3 linked regions of the Ovis aries genome follow. The protein of the gene in region 3 purifies or fractionates together with the protein of the main gene of each other region. This does not show direct contact. Links are inferred from orthologs where the notes say so. Each region holds a gene or a part of one and is shown on either strand. Other genes may lie near its edges.

The links. Proteins that work in one complex are often made in the same cells at the same time.
Region 1: the proteins of NAPA (region 3) and SEC22B purify together in Homo sapiens (affinity purification with mass spectrometry; 3 studies listed by BioGRID and IntAct, counting the BioPlex papers as one, with this or other methods). This does not show direct contact. The link is inferred for Ovis aries from reciprocal best matches to the Homo sapiens genes NAPA and SEC22B.
Region 2: the proteins of NAPA (region 3) and STX4 purify together in Homo sapiens (affinity purification with mass spectrometry; 4 studies listed by BioGRID and IntAct, with this or other methods). This does not show direct contact. The link is inferred for Ovis aries from reciprocal best matches to the Homo sapiens genes NAPA and STX4.

What each region holds. Positions count from the first base shown.
Region 1 is NC_056054.1:97,585,393-97,589,529, forward strand, and holds the start of SEC22B (vesicle-trafficking protein SEC22b), read right to left. Parts: upstream 2,856-4,137; 5' UTR 2,724-2,855; coding exon 2,649-2,723; intron 1-2,648. UniProt on the Homo sapiens protein: SNARE involved in targeting and fusion of ER-derived transport vesicles with the Golgi complex as well as Golgi-derived retrograde transport vesicles with the ER.
Region 2 is NC_056077.1:27,673,231-27,677,522, reverse strand, and holds the start of STX4 (syntaxin-4), read right to left. Parts: upstream 2,856-4,292; 5' UTR 2,571-2,855; coding exon 2,541-2,570; intron 2,354-2,540; coding exon 2,252-2,353; intron 2,139-2,251; coding exon 2,039-2,138; intron 1,904-2,038; coding exon 1,829-1,903; intron 1,327-1,828; exon of another isoform or gene 1,102-1,326; coding exon 1,031-1,101; exon of another isoform or gene 1-1,030. UniProt on the Homo sapiens protein: Plasma membrane t-SNARE that mediates docking of transport vesicles. Necessary for the translocation of SLC2A4 from intracellular vesicles to the plasma membrane.
Region 3 is NC_056067.1:54,230,230-54,233,789, forward strand, and holds part of NAPA (alpha-soluble NSF attachment protein), read right to left. Parts: intron 1,908-3,560; coding exon 1,791-1,907; intron 1-1,790. UniProt on the Homo sapiens protein: Required for vesicular transport between the endoplasmic reticulum and the Golgi apparatus. Together with GNA12 promotes CDH5 localization to plasma membrane.

The sequences.
Region 1 (4,137 bases), on a different chromosome or scaffold from region 3:
GACTTAAAGAGACTTTTCTTCTCTTAGCCTCAGCGCTTCCTTATCTATAAATGTAGATAATAAAAGTACCCATCCTAGTAGTTGATATAAGGGCTTCCCTGGTGGCTCAGCAATATAGAATCTGCCTGCCAATGCAGGGGACATGGATTCGATCCCTGGGTCAGGGAGACTCTCTGGAGGAGGAAATGGCAATCCACTGCAGTACTCTTGCTGGGGAAATCCCATGGACAGAGGAACCTGGCAGGCTACAGTCCATGGGGTCACAAAGAATCAGACACGACTTAGCAACTAAACAACAATAGCTTGTATGAAGACTAAATGAAATCATGCATTAAACAGACTTAGTGGAATGGTTGGTATATAGCAGGCACTCTATGGGCTTCCCAGGTGGTGCTTAGTGCTAAGGAACCCACCCACCAATGCAGGAGACATAAGAGACACAAGTTCAATCCCTAGGTCAGAAAGATTTCCCTGGAATAGGGCATAGCAATCCACTCTAGTATTCTTGCCTAGAGAATCCCATGGACAGAGGAGAGTGAAAGGCTACAGTCCATAGGGTCACAAAGAGTTGGACACAACTGAAGCTACTCAGCATGCATGCATAGGCACTCTCTCTAAATATACAGTGCTCTATTTTAATAGTAAAAAATAAGTCAAAGATTTATATTTTTGCAGATGTTAAAAGTTTAGAAAGGACGTTATCATTCAAAGTCAAAACTGCTAAAGGAAATCACTACAGAATTATAATCATAAAAATATTTTTGTGTAAAACATCTTTCCTTTTCAATTAAACAAAGGAACCCATATTGGTAGACTGATACCTAATTTGGAATTAAGAAACACACAGTATAACCAACTAATTTTTTCAATAAAGTGTCAAGGCAAAGAATAAGGGCCTACTGATATTCAGACTTTCAGATCTACTTTATATTCTTTGCCCACACTGGAATTCAAAGCAATAGTTGGAAAACTGACCAGATTTTGGTTCTCTTGCAAAAACTATTTCTTAGTCAAACTACATATCCTTCAAGGAAAATTTCCTTACACCATCTCCTTTGTTTCAAATCATGTTTTGCATTCATTTTAATAATTTCACTCCATCTGCATAGTCCAAGAAAATGTTTAATGCTGGAGAAAAGAAAAATACTTCACAATTCAAAGTTCAGGGCATGCTATATTTTTCAGATTTTTTATCAGCTTAGACTTTGTTTTGTGTAGTGAATAGAAAATATTTCACTCAGCATAACCTACTAAGCAACACAACAACTTCACAATCTGTATCGTTGTTCTCATAAAAGTTAAAGTAAATGTATTTGCAAATCAAACCTAAAAGGGCATATAACCAAATAGAAGCTTTCTCAATTAGGAGACACTAATACTGGCTTGGATGTCATTCTTTTGCGGAAGATTTTCCTGATGTCCGAAAATCAATTTAGATACCTTTTCCATGTTCAATCACAGAAACTTCTTCCTCTTCTACAGCAATTATCTACATTACAGTTATTTGTTAGTGATCTGACTTCTCCACTAAACTGTAAGCTCCAAGAAAGTAGGGACTATGTTCCCTAAGCCCCTGAATGAACACCATGCTTGGCACACCTGATGTGCTTAATGAGAGTTGGTTTTTTTCATGAATATATGAATGGAAGGTTAAAAAATGCACAAAATATTTTTTTTCTAGCACTCAACTTTTCTAGGCCTTGAAAGTTTTTTAAATTACTTGTATAAGAAAGTAAAAGAAAGTTGATCACTTTAAACAAATTTAAATAAATTATATAAATTTCATTCTCAGCCTCCTTTCTTCCAGAATTCCCCAACCTTACTCCAGGAACTGGACTCACACCAGAAATTTGCCTTGTGATTTTAAGGCACAAAGCCTCTTCCTGTGAAGCTATCTAGGGCTTTTTTCTGGGACTTTTTTTTGTTTGTTTTAATCAATGCAACATATTTTTGAGCACCTATTATACTAAAACTGCTATTGTAAAAGCTATGGGAAATACAAAAATGACTAAGACTTGTCATCTGCCTGCTAGGAAATTTAATTTATTGAAAGACAAAGGCAAAAGTACAAGGCATTATAGAAATATAACACAGGGGTCATAACTGCAACAGTAAGAATTTAGTAAGGCTCACTGAAGGAGGTGGGAATTGGACATAACTGGGAAAGAAAGCACTATACTGAACTTCAAACAGGTGCATATATGTGGCAATATTACCTCATCTGCTTTCAATAGATGTCAGCAAGCTGGGTCAAGGATCAGGTGCTACAGAAAGAAGTTAAAGAACTAGGAGCTGATTTTCCCCAGGACCTGTCAGCCTTATTAACAGCAAAAAAATTAGAAATCCTGGATTTTAGCAGAGTCTATAAAGAATTACAGAACACTGGATGATCACAATTAGCCAAACCTATCCCTTCTCCGGAGTGTTTTTCTAATAAGAAATAGGTAACATAAAAATCTACCCCCGCCTTCAGCAAAGGTTACTTTTCTCCAGGTAGTCTTCTCCCCTGTCAAAAGAGAAAACGCACTTCAGAGAAGTCAGAAACGCCTGGGAAGACTCAGGGGTCTCCCGCGTCCTAACAAGGAATCCGGGGCGGACAGCATAGCGCTCTGGCACGAACTTGGGGTCCTAAGGATCTACCAGCTCACCTGTTCGTCCTCCTGCATCGAGGCGGCCAACGGGAGCCCGTCCGCCACTCGGGCGATCATCGTGAGCAACACCATCTTTACAGGCTACGGAGACCCAGCACTGGCCCAGACGGCCGTAGATGTGTCTCGACTTGCTCCGCCGGGACAACAGTTAAACCTCTACCTCAGCTGCCGAAGACCCAGCTACTCGCGTCTCCGCTTCCCGCTGAGGTGGCCGGAAACAAGCTCCAGCGCTCTCCACTACCGGTCCCCAGAATTGGCTTCCCATCGGGAACCACAACTACCGGAACACTAGTTCCGGGATCTCTCCTTACACCTGCAGAAACTCCCAAGGCCCAGGCCACTTTTCTGGATTTCCAGCTTTGAATAAGCCTTGACCCGTGAGAGGGCGTGGCATACAAACTGAAATAGAATTTTCTAGTTTCTGATACTTTAAGTTGGGGGAGAGGGCTGGGAAGGACGGCAGGAGTTATTGGGTACTTAGATGAAGGGTATATGAAAAACCTGACAATCAGATGATATATTTTCATATTTATTTTTTTGTTTTATATGTTGTATATCCAGCACAAATTATTTTCTGTATTTTTATATTTTTAGGCAGAGTTCTTTGTGTGTGTGTGTGTGTGTGTGTATTGTATGGGTTTGTTTTTTTTGTTTTTGTTTTTGTTTTTTTGCTTGTGTATGCTGTATGCCCAGGTCCTTAAACAGATTCTGGTAAAAAATATTAATTGCATATGTGAGTAAGTGATCATATTACAGGATCTCAGAAATTACCTAGATCAGTCACCCTGCTGAAAGCTGCGATCTATCATTATAGGTAGCAGGACAGTCTTGCAAAACTTCCAGTAACTCTTCATTTACTCCCCATTGGAGAAACCTGTAGACAACTCCACCTGAATAAATGTTACCATCGCTTTTTCCTTTGGTGCCCCCATCTCTAATATGAGAATATTATCTGCCTCTCAGGATATTTGTGATTATATACTGAGAAAGTGTAGGTCCCCACTTTGTAGTTAAAGAAAAAACTTCAGAGAGTAATTTTTCCACAATGACATAGCTAGGAGTAATGGGACTAGGATTTGAGCTGTTGAACTCCAAAACCTATCCTCCTAATCCTGATATGATTCCGTCTTAACATTTAACCATAGGTTAAAGAGCTCACGTTTTGTTACCTTTTCTACAACTCTACAGCTACTAGGAGAAAACTTATTTCTTGAGAGGATTTTGGGAGGAAGACCTAATGATTGACTCCACACAAAAATGGACAGGCATATAGACAAGACAAACTGATGGTGCTATTTAGCACAGTGAGAAAGTGAAATGGAAGGCAATCCTTGGGTATATGGGAGCCTAGGTTGGCAAAATCATAATATCTTACATTTAAAATAGCTCAAAGATGTAACCTGACCTAACTTCCCTTCCTCCCACTCAACAAGGATGTGTCTTCTACCATGGTGTCAAATGGTCATTGTCATTCAGCCTCTGCTGG
Region 2 (4,292 bases), on a different chromosome or scaffold from region 3:
GCCCTCAAAGAATATTAGTGGAATGCTTGCTGAACACCAGCCTCCCTGCTTAGACTAAAGGTGTGCCAGGATTTTGCATTTCCCAGATTTTGCAGGCCCACCTGGGCACTCAGCCTCTCACACAATGACTACCACAAGCCCCCCACCCCCTGTAAATGCCTTCCCTGCTTGTCCATTTTCCTGATGCCTAAAATCTGCTCATTCCTTGGAGTTCCTTTCTCCAGGACACATCTGCTGTCCTGGGTTCAGTTGCACCCTTTCAAGATGCCCAAATTGTGGGGGGGCAGTTCTTGAGGCACTAGCCTACTGTGTTCCCCCCTTTGTTTGGCAAAGTAATAAAACTACTCTTTCCTTCTCTTCCATTAAAAAAAAAATCCCCAAATTGTTTAATCTTCAATCTGGGGTCTTTGCTGATTTCTGGGCCCACCTACTCCAACTCTGACCTCCAAGAACTCCAAACCATGCCTCTCTGGGCACCCAGAGGACACTGCTCAGACCATTTCAAATCTCCTTATTAAGATGATGATTCAGTGACCTTCCCCATACACACACACCAGGGAAGTTCCTCTTCCTGACTTGAATTCTGTCCTTGGGGCAGAGGATGTCCTCATCACATGGGTAGGAAACCACCCAGTCACTTGACTGCACCCTTTTTTTCCCTGGGCAGAGCCATTAACTACCAAGTCCTACCTGAGTAATGTCTTTGTCATCTATGCAAGCTTAACTCCCCATCTTGGCTTCTAGAAAGTATATCTCCTACAACCAAGCCCAGATCATGTCTGGGGTCTCAGCAACTTCTCACTGAATGGAGGAGAAGAAGGCAAGGTGTTATAACAGATTGGAAGTCAGGAAACCCGGGTTCTTGACCTTGGGGTAAATCCTTTTTTATCTCTGAGCCTCAGTTTCCTCATTTGGAAAATCATCAGGTTGGATTTAATGATCTCTAAGAGCCCTGCCTTCTTACATCTGCCATCTAATGATCTATTGAACACTTGCTGAAATGTCCTACTTCTGGGAATAATGAACCCACCTGGGTTTTTCTCATTCTTGTGTTGACGGAGTTATAATTCTCATCAGCTTCCTCCTTCTGGGGCTCTATGGCTGTGGAAAGACACAGAAGTATTGGTAGAGGAGGGGGTTTGACCTCTGGCTTCTGAAATTCATTTGGGGACTGGGACCCAGCCATGCAGCCATACAATAGAGAGAGATACAATATCTCCACAGAGCTTTTTTTTTGAAATAAAATTCATCATAAATGACTACTCTTGAGCCTCTGACAGGCAAAAGTATATTTTTCTTTGCAATAAATACATCAGAGAATTCCCACATGTTTGGAGAAGCTTCCTAACAAAACCCACATCTTCCCACCCAAAGAATACACACTGGGCAGCAAGAATTGTAGGAGTACAGATGATCCTTGCACAACTGTGGGTCCACTTATACCTGAATTTTTAGAAAATAAATGCATACTACAGTACTACACAATCCATGACTGCATGAATCCACCCTTGCAGAACCTGGGATGTGGACGGCAGACTATACAGTTATATGCAGATAACGACCTGAAGGTGGAGGTAGCAACGCTAACCTCTGCCTTGGACAAAGATCAAATGGACATGGTTTCATTATAAATAAGGGAACTTGAGAGGCAGGCATATGCTGTGGAAAGAACTTTGGACCGAAAGCCAGGAGATGGAGATTCTAGACGTTGGCCTGCTGTGTGACCTGGATATATATCACTGGCCTCTCTGGACCACACACTGCCCAGAAATACCAGGAGTTGGGCAGGATCAGAGGAAAGTATCTGGCTAAAGTCCTAGGAGCTCACCCTTCAGCTGCGCGCGGATGTCCCTCCCTAGCTGTTTGATCTCGTCACGCAGGTTCTGCAGGTCCTGCTTCATGCCTAAACAAGAGAAAGCCATGATGCCCAAATAGCAACCTCTACCTCAACAAATCTCCCTGGCCACCACCTGTGTGGAACTACAACCCCCACAAGCCTCCAGCTGAGCATGCGTTCTGCACCCGGGGTTTCACTCACTCTCCTCGGGAAGGGGCGTGGCCAGGATGGTGACCTGCTGCTTCTCCAACTCTCGGACTTTATTCTCTAGCTTGACGATAGTCTGCCGAATTGTCCGAACCTGGGGACGATGACCGAGAGGGCTGAGGGAGATGTGGGCGCTGCTCCAGGCTGCTCTGCTCCTCGGGCCCTCCAGGCCCCTCGTGAATCCAGGCCGAGACTCCAGCCTCTTACCTTCTGGAAGAACTCATCGTCCGGGCTCCCCAGCCGTGCAGTACCCGGGTGTACCACCAGCGCGACTCGCTCCTTGTCTTCATCGTCCGAGCTGTCATCCCCCTGCCAGGGCCGGGGTCACTGGCATCACTTCCTTGCTACTGCTCTCCCCCAGTAGAACTCACGGGCTTCCGGGACTTTCCTTCCTAGCCCACAGTCATCCCTCCCGGCCCCGAGGACCAGGAGTCCTGCATTCCAGTAGACCCCATCCCGTCCACCCGTCCCCAACCCTGCTGCGCCAAATTCTCACCTGCCTCAGCTCGTGGGTCCTGTCCCGCATGGCGGCCCGAGATCCCTCTCGCCGGCGCCGGAGCCCGGCGGGCCTCAAGATTCTAAGTTTGGAACTCCCGTACCCAACTCACACTCTGACACTCCCCTCCGCCCTCACCCTGCAGGCCCCAAACCCTCCCCCAAGAGTCGCTAGAGGCTCTGTCCCTGGCACCATTCACAGTTTCAAAGGGAAGGAGCCGACCTCGGGGACCCCCAAGATTCCACAGGTTGGAATTCCCTTTTCTTTCCCCCCGCCCTCTCCTGTAGCCTCAGCCCCGCCCCCTCTGGAAAGACTGGAGCATGCGCACCGGATCGCGTCCCTTCCCCACCCCAGGGAAAGGCCGAGGTCGGAAGCTTCAGCGCCCCGAACGGAAGCGAAATTGCCAGGACGTGAGAACCCGCCCCCTTTGCCGGAACTATCGCATCTTCCAGCGGAAATCTAGTTGCCAAAAGGGGTGGGAATGCGTCATTGGTACGTGATCTGTGAGGCCCTCTCAATTCGCATCACCCCATAGTGCAAACCCCCCCGCGCGCGTCATGTGACCGGCCTGGTCCCAACCTCTCAGACCACGGAACGTGACGCTTCGACTGTCACATGTCTCTGCCCTGTCAACTCCATCTCTGGAACACCCATCTCCCCACGACGTCCTCGGCACCCCGCGCGCGAGTTACCTCTCTTCAGAACCCCCGCGAGGCGGGGAGGGGGCGCTGACTACCCCCAGAGACAGTGGGTGGTAGGACCCAGGCTGAATCCGGCTTCCTTTCTTTTGGGTCCGCGAGTGTGGGCAGACTGAGGACTTAGAATTTGGAGCTGTCAACATCATGAGACCTTGAAATTCAGAAAAGAATAAAATACAGCGTCAGAGACTTGCGAGATTTTGTAGGCAGAGCATCTGGGGGTGGGAAGTGACCTCACCCGAGGCGGAACTCTCTTCTCCCGCATACTCCTGGCACAGTTTCTGACAGGTGGGCGGCTGGCTGGCGCCCGGCTTGAACACTGCAGTCCCGCTGCACTCACCACCTTTGAGCAGGGCATTTCAGGGCAGCTCGGGCTTAGAAAAAAGTCTGTTACATTGAGCAGCATGTCACTTAGACAACCCCCTCCCCAGACCCCCACCTTGCACTGGGGGTCTACCCTCTGGAACCCACAAAAATATTACATATTATCGTGGCCTGTGAGTTACTAAAGTGAGGGCATGATTGTGGACAGAGGAGCCTGGAGGGTTACAGTCCATGGGGTCACAAAAGAGTCGGACACGACTAAGTGACTAACACACACAAATTGTAGCCCACCAGGCTCCTCTGCCCATACAATTTTCCAGGCAAGAATACCAGAGCGGGTTGCCATTTCCTCCTCCAGGGGATCTTCCCAACCCAAGGATCGAACCAGCATCTCTTGTGTCTTCTTCACTGGCAGACAGATTCTTTACCACTGAACCAACTAGGAACCCCAGCACATGTTAGGCCCTCAGTAAATATTTGTTGATAGAGTCTTAGCCTCTTATATAACTGAAGATGAAGCTTATGATTCCCTGGTCTTCTCTTTTATGCTTCAGGCTTTTGGTGACACTTCCCTAACCCTAACCCTGTAGGCATTTATTCATTCAGTGGATATTTATTGTATGGGCCAGACACTGTTTTAGGGCCAGAGATATAACAGGGCAGACAAGAATGGCTTGCCCTTTTGGAACCCACCTTCTATAGAAGGATGCCCCAAAGTCACTCAGTGAGT
Region 3 (3,560 bases):
GGCTCTCCCCTGAGCCATGGAGAGAACTGCCATGGCGGTTCCCTGAGAGCCGCCCCTAGTGCCAAACCTGGCCCCTCCCGGCCTCAGCAGCCAGGGCAGAGAAGCAGGCTGGCTGACGCTGAGACAAACCAAGTCGCCCTCTGTGCCCCACGACGGGAATGTCACATGCAACCACTGCCGCCTGCCTACTAGACACCTCAGGCATCCTCCGTGCTTCTGGAGGCCAGGCACGAGTCACACCCCAACCTGGGCCCTAGGGCCCCCCACACACGCTGCAGAGCCTGCTGTTAGCTGAAAAGCCTCAGCTCAAAAGCTGGGAAAGGATGCCACATGCTAGTACCTGCTGGGGCCTGTCCACCAGAAGCACTGGGGCTTGTTTAAACAGCAAATCTGCCCTATGCACTTGCTGAAAGCCCGGGCTCAGCTTCCACCCCAGGAACCGGTCCTTCCAGTCACTCGGGTGCGGTGGCCCAACGTCTGTCACGGGTGCCTGGGCAGCATTTCCAGGTCGACCAGTTCCCCAGAAAGGCGGCAGACTGGGGCAGGGGCGGGACCCTCTGAGAGGGATGCACAGACTTTCTGGGGTGATTCAAGCTGAAAACCAACCTACGGTCATCACCGTGTGACCTGAACCCTGGCTCATCGCCACATCACCACGTGGCCTGCTGCAGCTCAATGCTAACCAGCCAGGTGTGCTGAGCTTTGGGCAGAGAAAGCAGGACACACCTGGTCATGAGGTTTCCCCTCGGTTCAAGCCGGGCTGAGCGCACCATGTGACCACCGAGGCCAACATCTGAGAGACACCCGGCTACCGAGGAGTGGCCCAGCAAGACTGGGGACAGAGAACAGGTACTTGGCCCTCACAGACACCAAACCCTCGACTGGGAACCAAAACGTCGCGGTGGCGATGACGAATTCGCCACCAATGTCCCCCGAGCTGGCATGCGAACTGGGGCTCACAGATCCTTGGAGAAACCCCGGGCACTGGTGCAAACTGCCCTCTCTTGGGAAGGACAAGCCTTTATTCCAAGATGATGCATCTCCCTATTTTTTTTTTTTAATATAACATTCGCCTAGTTCCCATTCTCTTGTGAGTGGACAGTGACAATAGATGGTCATTTAAAAAAAAAAAAAAGCCTTTTGCTTGTTAAAATTAAAAGTTAGCAACCCATGTCTGGCCCCAAAATTAAAAACAAAAAACTAAGATTCCAGCCCCCCAGATCCAACAGTCTGGTACCCGCTGGGCCGTGCATCTACTTTAAATGAGCCCAGCAGGGGCAAACATGGTTTCCTCACAGTGAGTCAGCCCCAAACTGGGCTTCGGTCCCCAACACGCTCTCATCTGAAGGAACTTACTCTCTGGCAACCGCATCTCCGCTTGGTTCTCTCCGATCCCCCCACCATGGGGGTAAAGGAAGCCAGGTCAGAATAATTTCCGCTCCTTTTTTGGCAGAGACTCCTACCTGGCTGGTCTCAGAACCCCCTCCCGCCCCCTCCGCGTGTTAATTCTGACAGCAGAACAGATTTTCCTCTCTCCTGGGCAAGCGGTGGGCCTGAGATCTAACTCCCACTCCCACATGCTCCCGGGCTCCGGGAGGGGCGCCACCAGCTGCAGGCAGAGAGCGGGAGGGGGAGGCGGAGGCTGGGAGCCAGAGAGAGGCCGACGGACGCCAGGCGGGAGGCAGCCAGCGCGAGTTACAGTGCGAGTGCCGCCCGGCGTGGTGCAGCGGAAACCTGAGGCCTTCTCTGGAGGGGCTCAGCTGGTGCTCGGGGTCCACAGGGGCCCTCACCTTGGGGGTCGGCCTTCTTGAACGCGTTGCCGGCGTCCACGAAGCAGGTGGCCGCGTCGTGCTTGCTCTGCAGTTGCAGGTGCAGCTGGGCCGCCTGGCAGAAGGCGCTTCCGGCAGCTGGAACAGAAGAGGGTGGGCCCTGCCTCAGAGCGGGGCTCCAGGCTCTGGAAGCCACTCAGATGACGTCTGCGGAGGGGGCTGAGCTCTCGTGAGCCCGAGAGAGGAGACTGACCTGGGGGAAGCGAGGCGCAGGCCTGGACCTCAGGCCACCTGATCCCAGCGGTGCCCCCCACCTCCACCCGGAAGCTGTCCCCCAGCCCCGGGAGCTTGGAACCAGCATTCCAGACTGCATCATGGGCTGGGGCCAGGTGGGGGTGCTGGGGAAGAGAGGGGCAATCAAGACCCAGCTGCACCACACCCCCACCACCTCCCCTTTCCAAGTCTGACTTCACCTCCCATCACGGCTCCCAGCCCTTCTGGTCTAACTCCCTAGCTCCTCTGTCCACATTCCAGTCTTCCCTGGGGAGAACTCACAGAGTCCCGGCCCCCAGGAGGTTCACATCTAGAAAGGGAAAGGAGATGTGGACGCCGTGAGCTTGAGTGTGTACATGGGTTCTCAGCTCCTCAGTCTGACTCTTTGCCACCCCATGGACGGTCGCCCACTGGGTTTCTCTGTCCATGGGATTCTCCAGGCAAGAATGCTGGAGTGGGTTGCCACGTCCTTCTCCAGGAGGATCTTCCCGACCTAGAGATCGAACCCATGTGTCCTGCGTCTCCTGCACTGGCAGGTGGATTCTTAACCCCCGAGCCGGCTGGGAAGCCCCTGTGAGCTTGAGTGCGTGGGGACAATGCCCACGGGTGGAGGGCAGCTGCGGCAACCACACCTGAAGCCCGGGCTGCCCTGTACTCAGCCACCCTGTCACCTTCCACAGGTCTGTTCCCGCGTCTCCATCTCCTAATGTGACTCGAGGGAGGCAGAGGGAGCCCTCCTCTTCCAGGGGTGGGACCTGTGCTAACTGGGAGCTCCAATGGCCACGTCCAGCTCCGTCCTGAAGCCCCTGCCCTTCCTCTTCCTCCAGCTGAGCCCGAATCATGGAATTCCTGACTTGGAGGAGGACAAGAGGGCCCGGCCCTATACTCTACCTTTAGAGCAGGAAACTAAACTCAGCCACCCAGGTTTTCACTCTCTGATTTCTTTCCTATTTTTAAGTGCTCCAAACTTGAGTGCAGAATTTCCAGGAAGGTAGTATCATTAGGGGGAAGAAATGGCTTAAGATTTTTGTTCGACTATTTGGGGGAGGGAGAGAGGTGACAAATTTTAGAAGTAAAGCAACATCCACGTGATTGAAAAAGAAATCTTTTAACGGTATTTTGTTTTTGGGGTGAGCATAAAAATACACACAGAATCTGGCTCCAGGCGCAGTGTATGCTCTGAAAGCTCAGGAGAAACTCTTCTGATTTTCAGAAAACCAAAAATACTCTCAGAGGAGGAGAGCCCATTTTGCCCACTGCCTCCACACCCGCCTCTGTAGCCCCGTCCCAGGTTTCCTTTGTAGTCTGAAGTCAGAAGTTCCTCCCTGGGTTTCAGCACTGTCTTTGCTTGATTTTCTTGATCCAATCTTGCAGTTTCTTTTTAAATTGGAGTATAATTGATTTACGATGCTGTGATGTTATGTTTGTTTCAGGTATACAACAAAGTGGATCAGTGATACATATTACACATACATATTATTTTTTCAGGCGCTCAGTTGCGTCCGACTCTTTGCCACC